Alligator mississippiensis: one gene and its partners. The protein of the gene in region 1 purifies or fractionates together with the protein of each later gene. This does not show direct contact. Links are inferred from orthologs where the notes say so. Each region holds a gene or a part of one and is shown on either strand. Other genes may lie near its edges.

Evidence for each region.
Region 2: the proteins of CCND1 (region 1) and CDK5 purify together in Homo sapiens (co-immunoprecipitation; 4 studies listed by BioGRID and IntAct, counting the BioPlex papers as one, with this or other methods). This does not show direct contact. The link is inferred for Alligator mississippiensis from reciprocal best matches to the Homo sapiens genes CCND1 and CDK5.
Region 3: the proteins of CCND1 (region 1) and HDAC3 purify together in Homo sapiens (affinity purification with western blotting; 5 studies listed by BioGRID and IntAct, with this or other methods). This does not show direct contact. The link is inferred for Alligator mississippiensis from reciprocal best matches to the Homo sapiens genes CCND1 and HDAC3.

The regions. Positions count from the first base shown.
Region 1 is NC_081825.1:215,201,156-215,204,896, forward strand, and holds the start of CCND1 (G1/S-specific cyclin-D1), read left to right. Parts: upstream 1-1,578; 5' UTR 1,579-1,819; coding exon 1,820-2,017; intron 2,018-3,381; coding exon 3,382-3,597; intron 3,598-3,741. UniProt on the Homo sapiens protein: Regulatory component of the cyclin D1-CDK4 (DC) complex that phosphorylates and inhibits members of the retinoblastoma (RB) protein family including RB1 and regulates the cell-cycle during G(1)/S transition.
Region 2 is NC_081828.1:220,005,371-220,009,111, forward strand, and holds the start of CDK5 (cyclin-dependent kinase 5), read right to left. Parts: upstream 2,647-3,741; 5' UTR 2,574-2,646; coding exon 2,537-2,573; intron 2,389-2,536; coding exon 2,300-2,388; intron 2,215-2,299; coding exon 2,147-2,214; intron 2,069-2,146; coding exon 2,008-2,068; intron 1,927-2,007; coding exon 1,870-1,926; intron 1,783-1,869; coding exon 1,687-1,782; intron 1,602-1,686; coding exon 1,527-1,601; intron 1,328-1,526; coding exon 1,231-1,327; intron 1,132-1,230; coding exon 1,062-1,131; intron 944-1,061; coding exon 883-943; intron 809-882; coding exon 728-808; intron 285-727; coding exon 198-284; 3' UTR 1-197. UniProt on the Homo sapiens protein: Proline-directed serine/threonine-protein kinase essential for neuronal cell cycle arrest and differentiation and may be involved in apoptotic cell death in neuronal diseases by triggering abortive cell cycle re-entry. Interacts with D1 and D3-type G1 cyclins.
Region 3 is NC_081832.1:40,858,670-40,862,410, reverse strand, and holds the start of HDAC3 (histone deacetylase 3), read right to left. Parts: upstream 2,738-3,741; 5' UTR 2,677-2,737; coding exon 2,622-2,676; intron 2,616-2,621; exon of another isoform or gene 2,503-2,615; intron 2,316-2,502; coding exon 2,233-2,315; intron 1-2,232. UniProt on the Homo sapiens protein: Histone deacetylase that catalyzes the deacetylation of lysine residues on the N-terminal part of the core histones (H2A, H2B, H3 and H4), and some other non-histone substrates.

The DNA of each region.
Region 1 (3,741 bases):
TGCAAGGAAGTGCAAACCTCTGAGACTTCCAGAATAAAAGTAATGTGTTTTATTTTTCTTGAATGCATGGAGTAAAGAACACTAATGCTTCCCCCTTTCATAACTCTTCTGGGCAAGTCTGGTTATGAGGCGCACACGTGGGGAAGACACAGGTAGCCTAGATCCTCCTTGGATCCTCTGAATGTCATCATCATGTAGATAAGATACAAGTAAAGGCAAGCGTCATGCGGAGAGCTCACAAAGAGACACTGTGTACATGTGGGAAGCTGCAGCTTTATGCCCTATGATCTGTACTAGTGCTCACTATACATCTTGAAGGGGAGACCCGGACCTAACACTCCAGCAAGCCACCTACAGCCACCATGCTCATCTATTTCAGCATACTGATGATGCTCTGAGGAGTGCTACGGCAGTTTGGGGTCTGAGGACCTATTATTTATTGTTACGTGCCCACATTAGGAGGTGGGAAACCTTTCCAGCAAAGGAAAGGTACATCTACAGATATATCTACAGTCTCCCCCCAAACAAGTGAAATTCTAGTTCCACTGAAGTCACTGTGAGTTTTGCCATGAGCTTTGCTGTTAAGAGCCCAAAAAACATGGAGTCCAAATGCTTGATCCCTTTTTTCCCCCAAAAAACATATCTAGGTTCAAAGGAAAGAAGATAAACAAGTGTTTCATTCCCCTGCCCCAAAATATATTAAAGATATAGACAGCCTCAATCTGCTGAGGAACTGACAACTTATTGCTGGAGCCACATCAACAAAAATTTAAGCTGTGGAAGGACGGACTCCCCCTCTCCGTGAGCTTGGGATCGGCCCCTGGGTAACTCCCTGGATCCTGGCACCTTCCCTTGGATTCCTCTTCTTTTAGGTGTTAACTGTGTGGGAGGAAATGCTGGCCACCATTTTGCTGCACTGCTGAGATTTTTTTTTCTGGGTGGTGGCGTGTAGCGGGGGCAGGGTGTGGAGCTTTGCTCTGCTGTTTGGTTAGGGTTAAATGGATTTCACCCTGTGTCCCCCAATCCTTTTGGCAGGGTAAAATCTAAAAGCCCCCCACCCCAAGGAAGGAGATCCTACATTCCTTTAACTTTCAAAGATATAATCTAAATCTAAACCAGGAAGGCAAAATGGAGAACAAGTCTGCCTTTGGATTATTAATGCTCCGCCTGTGCATATTCCAGGTTGGGAGTGCTTTTAAATAGGAGTTTCTTTGAAATATGACAAACGATGAAGAATAGCAACAACAACAACACTATGGTGCTGCCTCCCCTCTACCCCCCAATAAAACAATCTGAAGAGGGTCCCCCTGTGTCCATATCCGCGTGTGTCTGTGTGTGGCCTAGTCCCATTCATCATTTAGCTCCCACTGCCCAACTCTCTCCATTTTGAAAATTATGCATGATACACTGAAGAGACAATTTGGGTTTCCCCCACCTCTCCCCTGCCCTTGAAGAAAGCAAGCCCTTGTCTCATTTGCATTTGCATTAAACCCTGCTTCTGTATAAGCTAAGCAAAGGGGAAGGACTCCAAGCCTATGGGATGGCTTTAGGGCTCTGCCCCTTGCTTTTGGCTTCTCTCTCTCTCTCTCATTCTCTCCGCTGCTTTGATCTCTGCTTAACAACAGTCACGTCACAGGGACTAAACTATACAGGAGAGTTTTGTTGGAAGTTGGAAAGTTTTTCAGCCTCCAGAGGGCTGTAGCGGCAGTAGCAGCAAGCAGCATCCAAGGGACTCCTGGAAGGGGAAGAGAGAGAGAGAGAGAGGGACGAGCCTTGAGTCAGTCCTTTAGAAACCTGACTGTGGAAGAAGGAGGCAGACATGGAACATCAGCTGCTGTGCTGCGAGGTGGAAACCATCCGAAGAGCCTACCTAGACGCCAACCTACTGAATGACAGGGTCCTGCTGGCCATGCTGAAGGCGGAGGAGACCTGCACGCCCTCGGGCTTCTACTTCAAGTGCGTGCAAAAGGAGATCTTGCCCTACATGCGGAAAATAGTGGCCACTTGGATGCTGGAGGTGCGTATGTCCGGGGCATCGCTCCTGCCGGAGCCCGGAGGGGATGGACCCCGGGAGACCCCCGAAACCCTACAGCAGCGCCGGACATCCCGCGGCGGGGAGGGAGGGAGAGAGGGAAGGAGAGAGGGAGGCAGCAGCGTGCCCGGCTCCGGATCCAGCCGCACCATCAAGGCAGCGCGGCTCCCCCCCAAGCCTGCTGCATTGAAGGGGTCTTCATGCCCCCCCAGCTTGCAAATCCACCTCCTCCCCGCCTTCCCCCAAATAAAATCAGAATTAAAAAAAAAAAAAGTTTCCATCTCTGGCGTCCTGCCCCCCTCGCCCCCTCTTTAAGGGGGGGGGATTTTTTTTTTTTTAATTTTAAATGAATATCCCCGTACACGTATGCAGGCGCCGGCCGTGCCAGTATTCCGCGCCATCTTTGTTCTTTCCCTCGCTTTTTTTTTTTTTTTTTTTTTGGGGGGGGGGGGGTAATCAATGATACTGCAAAGCGGCCGGGGTCGGGGGCCGGGGTCGGGGGCCGGGCCCTGGCCCTTTGTTGGCGGCGGCGCGGGGCTGCAGGCGCGGTGCCCCCGCGAGGCGCGCTGCGGCCGGGGCGTCCGGCGCGGGGCAGGCGGCCCGCAGCCCCCTGGGGACGGGCGTGCGGGCGGGCGCCGCCGTGGGGCCCGGGCAGCGCGACCCCCGGAGCCCGGGCCACATTGTGGTGGCCGCCCCTCCGCGCTGGGCGCCCGCCGACTATTTTTAATTAATTTCTGAAGGCGGCCCGCGCGGTCCCTGCCGCCGCACGCGGCTGGCTGGCCGGGTGGAGGAGGGGAGCGGGGGGGACCCGGGGTTTTGCTTTCGGGGGACCGCCGTGCCGGCCTCCCCGCCCGGCTTGCCGAGCCGGCTGGGTCAAGCCGCCCCCGAGGGGCATTTTCAGGCCCTTGAGGAGGCTCGGGAGATTTTTTAAATATTTTTAAATATTTTTTGAAAAGATGACGTCTGGGGAAATGCGGCCGGCGGACGCCACCTTTGTGTCTGGAGTGCGGCTTCGCCCCCGGCGGCTGGCAGCGCTGCTGAGGGGATCCCACCCGGCTGGGATCCACCGGGTCCTGTGGATCCCCCACTCCATCGATCCAGGGGAATGACCCCCCCCTTTTTTTTTCTTTTAACCCCACATTTTTACGTAGCCTTCCCCCCATTCACTCAGTTTTGTTCCTCTCATCCTCCCCCTTCCCACATGGGTTTTATTCAGGGCATTTTCACATATCCCCTCCTCTCCCCAATATTCAGCCCTGCAGCCCGAGCGCAAAGGGGGAGGGAAGGGAGTGGGGCTTGACTCCCTATTGATGCCAGGCCTCCTTTCAACGACCTCTCTGGTTTGGCAGGTTTGTGAGGAGCAGAAATGCGAAGAGGAGGTGTTCCCCTTGGCTATGAATTACTTGGACAGGTTTTTGTCCTTCGAGCCCCTCAAGAAGAGCCGGTTGCAGCTGCTGGGAGCGACCTGCATGTTCGTGGCTTCGAAAATGAAGGAAACCATCCCGCTGACGGCAGAGAAGCTGTGCATTTACACCGACAACTCCATCAGGCCCGACGAATTACTGGTAATTTGGGGCTCACCTCCTCGGGAGACCCAAATCCAATCCCGCCCAATGCAGACAGACCACTGGAAGCAAGATCGGGAAAGGGGGGGAGGGACAAAAAAGGCTCCAGAGAAGAAATTGCGGCTGACTTCCTCACATCTGCCC
Region 2 (3,741 bases), on another chromosome or scaffold:
TGCTCCCCGGGCTGCAGCCAAGCCAGGAATGCAACTGGTTAGAAACCTAATAAATACGGGCAGGGGAGGGTCAGTCCTGATGGGGGCCAGAGCCCTGCCCCCCAAAATCTGCCTGCTCCGCACGGCGCAGACGGCACCCCCACCCCCACCCCCAGCCCGCGGTGCTGGAGCAGGGCGCGGGGTGTGAGCCGGGCTGGCTAGGGGGGGCAGAAGTCTGTGAAGTAGGGGTGCTGCAGCGCCTCCTCGGCCGATATCCGCTGCACCGGGTTGCACTTCAGCAGGTTCTGCGGAGGCAGCAAAGGGGGTGGCGTGAGCAGGGAGCTGGCCCGGCCGCAGGGAGCAATGCCCTCACCCCCGGGACACCCACCCCTACCGCAGGAGCTGGGGCAGCCTGGGGTCCAAGGTGGCCTGGCTAAGGGGGGTGCTGAGAGGAGGCAGAGGGGCAGCTGGCTCCCACCCCACGTGCTGCAGCCCCGAGGACGCCCCGCTTGGCAGGGACCCAGCTATGCCCGCACAGGGCACAAGGCAGCACGGGGTGGGGCGGCAGGGGCTGCAGATTCGGGGCCCAGCTGGAGAGGCTTCCCCAGCATGGGAGCAGCAGGAGCCAGAGACGCACAGCCACCCCTGCGCAGGGGGCAGGAGACGACGACCCCGGGGCCCCCCAGGCATGCGAGGCCGTGCCCGCCGCGGAGGCCGAGTCCCTGGCGGGGCGGGGCGGCGCTCTCACCTGCAGCAGGTCCCGGCCGGTGGCATTCAGCTTGGGCACCACATTCACCAGCGACGTCGTGGCCGGGTACATGGGGTAAGGCTGCGGGGACGGGCGGCGTGAGTCCGGGGGCTCCCTGCCCCTCGCCCCTGTCCCAGGCAGCTGCCCCTGCCTACCTTGTAGTCGGGAAGCTTGGTCATGGCTGGCCACTGCTCCTCAGTCGGGGTGCCCAGCAGCGTGGGCGGCCGAGTTAAGGGCCACGGGACCAGAAGGGACCTTGGGGCCATGAGGCCCGACACCCAGCAGCCACAGACCCCCCACACGCCCTGTCCCGCCCCCTCGTACCCAAGGATATCGGAAAATCCTCTTCAGCTGGTCGTCCACGTCGTTGCCGGGGAAGAGGGGCCGCCCCGCGTTGGCCAGCTCTGCGGAGAGGAGCGCGAGGGGTCAGCGGGCAGCCGGCAGACTCCCGGCCCCCAGCCCAGCCAGGCCGCGCCGCGCCGCCGGCCCACGCGCCCCGGCACCTGCGAAGATGCAGCCGGCCGACCACATGTCGATGGAGGTGGAGTAGAGCTTGGCGCCGAAGAGCACGTCCGGGGGCCGGTACCACAGCGTGACGACCTGCGGGGCACGGACGGGCAGTGCGCCGCACACCCCCCCGGGCCAGGGGCACGGGGGCAGGGCGCCGCGGGGGGCGGGGGCAGGTGGGCGCTCGACCCCGGCAGCACCGAGGTGCGGGGTGGTGCAAGGCAGTCCCCCCACGCGCCGTGGCATGGTGGGGGTGCCCCGCACGGCGCGAGGGCCGCGGGCGCGCACTCACCTCGGCCGAGTAGCAGCGCACGGGGATGCCGAAGGCGCGGGCCAGGCCGAAATCCGCCAGCTTGAGCTCCCCGTTCTGCGGAGCACGGCGCGGCGTCACGGCCGCCCCGCGCGCTGCCAGCCCCCCCGGCCCCGGCCCCGGCCCCGGCGCCCCGACTCACCCGGTTGATGAGCAGGTTTTGGGGCTTGAGGTCGCGGTGCAGCACGTTGCGGCTGTGGCAGAAGCCGAGGCCCTTCAGCAACTGGTACATGAAGGACTGCGGAGGAGCGCGGTATCAGCGCCGCCCGGCACCGGCACCGACGCCGACGCGGGTCCAGCGCCGCCCCCCGCGCCCCGCGCCCACCTTGACGATCTCGGGGTCCAGGTCCCCGTTGCAGCTGTCGAAGTACTTCTTGAGGTCCTGGGCGGGACAGCGCGGGGTCAGGGGTCGGGTCAGGGGTCACAGCGGGGGTGGGGGCCCCGCGGCCCCCCGCGGCCCTACCTGGTCGCAGAACTCGAAGACCAGCGTCAGCTTCTTGTCGCTGTGCAGCACGTCGTGCAGCCTGCGGACAGGGCCGTGAGCCGGGGCGGGGCCGGGGCCCGGACCCCCACCCCCACCCCGCCCCGGCCCCGATCCCGACCTGACGATGTTCTTGTGCTTCAGCTCCTTGAGCAGGCAGATCTCGCGCAGCGCCGAGCTGGGCACCCCCTGCGGCGGCACCGGCCACGGGTCAAGGGGGGGCACGTGCCCCCCCACCCCGACCCACGTGTCGCGGTGCCCCTCCCCCCCGCACCTCGTCGTCGTCGTCCAGCCGCACCCGCTTCAGCGCCACGATCTCGTGCGTCTCCCGGTTCTTGGCCTTGAACACGGTCCCGTACGTCCCTGCGGGGGGGGCGGGGCGGGGCGGGGCGGGGGGTCAGCGGGCCCGATCCCGCGCCCCGCCCCCGCGCATGGATGGGCCCGATCCCGGGTCCAACCCTGCCCCCCCCCCCCGCCCGCCCGGCCCGGCCCGGCCCGGCCCGGCCCGCACCTTCCCCGATCTTCTCCAGCTTCTCGTATTTCTGCATGGCTCCGCGCCCCGCGCCGCCCCGCGCCGCACTACACCTCCCGGCCTGCCCCGCGACCACTCCGTCTCCCGGCATGCACCGCGCCGCCCCGCCCCGCCCCGCCCCGCCCCGCGGGACTACAACGCCCGGCGTGCACCGCGCCCCGCCCCTTTCCCCTCTCCCCGGGCAATGGGGGGCAGTCCGGGGGGGCGGGGCCTGCGGGGGGAGGAAGGAGCCGCGGCCCCCCCCTCCTCCCCCCGGCGCAGGCGGCGGCAGGTGAGCGCGGCCCCCCCGGGATTGCCCCCTTTTGCCCAGGCAGCCCGGGGTGCCCCCTCGTGCCACGTGCGGGGTGTGGCCCCCCCAGGCCGGGCCCCCCGTGCAGGTGAGCGGGGCGGGGCGGGGCGGGGCGGGGCGGGGGGGCTGGCACCATGCGCGGGGCACGCGGCCGCCCGCCACCGTGACATCGCTGCCCCTCCCCGAGGCGGGGGCGCGGGGGCGCCTCGGGGCAGCGGGCAGGGATACACGGCGCGTCGGGCGCTGGGCATCGCCGTGCGGCGGCAGGGCGCAGGGCATCGTGTTGGGCGGCATGGCGAGAGCAACACGTCGGGGCCCTGGGCTCTGCGGTGCGGGCGGCAGGGCAGCGCGTCGGGGCGCTGGGTGGCACGGTGTGGGTGGCACATCGGGGCCCTGGGCTCTGTGGTGCGGGCGGCAGGGCAGCGCGGCGGGGCGGGGAGCAGGGCTCTGCAGTGCAGGCAGCGTGTCGGGGCACTGGGCGGCACAGTGCGGGCAGCACACCGGGGCACTGGGCTCTGCGGTGCGGGCGGCAGGGCAGCGCGTCGGGGCAGGGAGCAGGGCTCTGCAGTGCAGGCGGCGGGGCAGCGCGTCGGGGCGCTGGGCGACACAGTGCGGGCAGCGCAGTGCGGGCAGCGCACCGGGGCACTGGGCTCTGCGGTGCGGGCGGCAGGGCAGCGCGTCGGGGCGCTGGGTGGCACGGTGTGGGTGGCACATCGGGGCCCTGGGCTCTGCGGTGCGGGCGGCAGGGCAGCGCGTTGGGGCAGGGAGCAGGGCTCTGCAGTGCAGGCGGCGGGGCAGCGCGGCGGGGCTCTGGGTGGCATGGTGTGGGTGGCACGTCGGGGCCCTGGGCTCTGCGGTGCGGGCGGCAGGGCAGCGCGTCGGGGCGCTGGGTGGC
Region 3 (3,741 bases), on another chromosome or scaffold:
GTCTTCTGCTTCCTGCCCCTGCTCCATGGTGGCACAGTGCAGGCCATAATGCAATGGGAGATCCCATGGCCACAGCTGAGGTAGAGGGATAGGGAACACCTGCATGCATGGTACAGTGGTTATGGGGCAGGATTCCCTGTAAAGCATGAGGCCTGGAAAGCCCATGGCTTGCACTGGCGTGGTCCACATGGCATGCTGCTTAGAATATCTCAGCTGTTTATAAATGTTTTTTTCTCTGGCATCCAATCAAAACCTGGAACTCCAAGCCATGGCTATGCATCCCATCCAATGTAATGATGGAGAAAATATGTTCTCCATTTTTCATGGCAGCTGAAGGAATTGGCCAGTGTCATAGCAGAGCCACTGGCACAGCTATTTGAGCACTCTTGGTGCTCAAGTCAGGTCCCAGAGGACTGGAAAAGGGCCAGCACAGTCCCTATTTTCAAGAAGGGGAGGAAGGAGGATCCAAGTAACTATAGACAGATTAGTCTCACCTCTATCCTCAGGAAAACCTTTGAAAAAATTATTAAGGATCACATTTGTGGGAGTCCAGCAGGGAAAGCAATGCTAAAGGGCAACCAGCACGTATTCATAGCAGGTAGATCCTGCCTGACTAACCTTGTTTCTTTTTATGACCAGGTCACAAAATGCTTAGATGCAGGAATCAAGGTAGAGGTCATCCACGCACAACATTTATCTGACACAAGAAGTCTACAAGCCAAGGAGAGGTAAAGCACTGCTCGACCTGATACTGGCAACTGGGAGCAATCTAACGATCAAAGGGAAGCTGGGTGACAGCGACCACGAGCTGATCACCTTCACCATCTGCCATAAAGCTGGCAAGACAGCAACACAGAAGTCCTTGACTTCAAGAAAGCTGACTGTGACAAGCTGAGGAGGCTTGCCAGTGAAGCCCTAAGGGACCACGACCCATAGGGGAGGGGAGTTCAGGAAGACTGGTCGCTCCTCAAGGGAGCGATCCTTGATGCACAAGCTAATGCTATTCCATCTCGGAGGAAAGGCAGCAAAAGGGCACAGCAGCCCCCTTGGCTCTCCAGGGAACTAGCAGACCTCCTGCAGCTAAAGAGAAAGACCTACAAAGAATAGAGGACGGGATCCACCTCCAAAGAGGAATATTCCGCATTGGTCCGGACCTGCAGGGAGCGAATGAGGAAAGCCAAGGCTACAAATGAACTACAACCAGCTACAAGTATCAAGGGCAATAAAAAGTCCTTTTTTAGATAAGTGGGGAGCCAGAGGAAAAAGAAAGGGCAACATTGGACCCCTGTTAAAACAGATGGGACAACTGAAAACCGACACCAAGGAAAAAGCCAGCTTACTAAATGAGTATTTTGTGTCAGTCTTTCATCAATCCCACGGGACTCCCTGTCCCATAGTGGTCAGGGATGACCTGGGTGAGGGAGATTCCTTGCCCTCCATCAATCCTGACCTTGTGAAGGAACACCTTGAGAGGCTGGACACCTTCAAGTCAGCTGGCCCTGACAATCTACACCCCAGGGTACTCAAGGAGCTGGCTAGCATCATAGCCCAGTCCCTGGCAAAGATCTTCAAGAACTCCTGGTGTTCTGATGAAGTGCCCGAAGATTGAAAGAAGGCCAATGTGGTGTCTATCTTCAAGAAAGGGAGGAAAGTGGATCCAGCAAACTACAGGCCCATCAGCCTGACTTCTACCCCGGGAAAGGTCTTGGAAAATGCACATGCAGCAGAGCTCACCCAGGCAGTGCAGTCCACAGCTGTGCCAGGGGCAGGAGCTGCAACTGGAGATGCGGGGAGCAGAACAGCCCCACAGCATGCAGCTTCCAGCTCGTCAGGTGCTGCTCTGCTTGCCCTGCCTCCAGCTCCCGCCCCTGCTGTGCCACTCTGGAAGAGCAGAGGGACGCTTCAGCTGGCAGCTCCACCGGAGGTGAGGGAAGTGCAGCAGCACTGGGAACATCCCCACTGGGAGCTGTGCACACCGGTCAAGATCTGGCCCTGGGCCAGCAGGAGCAGGTGGGATTTGCCACAGGGGCATCCATGGACCAGATCCAGTCACTTGCCCGTATTTTGCCCACCCCTGTTCTAGACTGATAGCTACAATGGCTCAGGCTGGACTGCACTTCACAGGCACACTTAGACGTAACTATTTCGTCTACCTCCTAGACAAGACTGCGCAAGGCAAGGACCACCAGCCCCAGCAGACCAGTCTTGCTGGTCTCCGCCCGTGATGCTTACAATCATCTTCTTGTAGAGCCCGTAGTGCAGCACGAGGCTGTGAGTGAGCGCCAGGCGATGAGGCTTCATGGGATGTCCCGCCCCTGCAACACACGGAGGGAGGAGCGGGTGAGTCAGGCACACGCGGGGCTCCCAGTGAGCAGGGGCCGCAGCACCACGGGGCTGACCCGACTGACTCCGGCCGCGCAGCCCTCCCCTCCCAGGAGCAGCCCGGCCCTGCCTGCCTCGGCCAAGCCACCCGCGCCCCCCCAGAGCCGCCTCGGCGCTTACGGCCAACGGGCCGGGCCGGGCCTCGGCGCTGACAGGGGACGGGGGAGGCGGCCACGCACGCGGCTCGGCCAGCGGAGAGGGGTTGCCCCGGGGCCTCCTGCCCGCCCCGCCGCGCTTACCGTAGTGGAAGTTGCCCACGTCCGGGTCGTAGAAATAGGCCACGGTTTTCGCCATGGCCGGCGCCCCGCCCCCCGCGGCCCTCGCGAGACCGCGTCCTTCCCGCGCGGGGCGGGGCGGGGCGGTCCCTGCTGCGGCCCCGCCCCCGCCTGGAGGAAGCCGGCGCAGACCTGCGCCCCTGCCGGTCGCTAGTCCGCGGAGCTGGAGCTGTTCGTGCCGGTGTGCCGCGCCGGGCCGGGCCGGGCCGCCGCGCCAGGAGTGTCCCCGCGCTGGCGGAGACGCTCTGCTGCAGAAGGAGCTCGGTCTTGTCTGCTCCGCGTGTTCTTGAAGCCTTTACTCTTGTGACCTGGTGCCAGGGCAGCCGCTACTACTGCATTACTGCACGAAGGGCGCGCGCGCTTGGGGCTGGCCCTCGGCCTGCTGTGTGTCCAGAAACCAGCTGGAGTTTTGCTCTGGACTTGAGCCGCAGCTCCCCCGCCCCACGCAGTCCACCCAGCCCAGCAAGAGATGGCTGCTCCATCATTCAAGCTTGGGAGTTGGCGGAGGTTGGACAAAGTAGTCACACGCCCCCATTGCACGCCTTAACCATGCTAGTCTGAGGGACCATTAGGCCCTGGTGGACCTTTGATTTTTGATACTGGCTCTTCTAAGGTAACAATGTTGGCAGCCCCCCACTACCAGAAGGATAGTTTTTTGGTGAATAGGGGAGTCCTCAGAGAGCCGAGATGGCTGAGGAGCCCAGTCTGAGATCCTCATGTTGTCTGCAGATATGAGAAGTAGCTCTGGGAGGAAGGAGCAGATCAGGTCACAGCTCTCTCTTTGTGTCTCTCCTCTATCCACCTCTGTAGTGAGGTGAGTTTCATACCTTGTACATGGGGGTGATTCAGTATTTGAGTCTAGAGCAGTGACCATCAGTGAGTTGGGAGTATAGGACCTGTTTCGGGGGCTGGCTGTCAGGCACCCTTATAACGTTCTAACCAATAAAGCTAGCGTCATACAAACACAACTTCAATTCTGGTAGAGCTTCCTTGATCCAGAAAGCTAGCATTCATTCTTCTTTCCAGTTGAGATGGAGAATTTCCTGAAAACATCACCAGCAATTATCTTCCAAAGCTTCCAGAT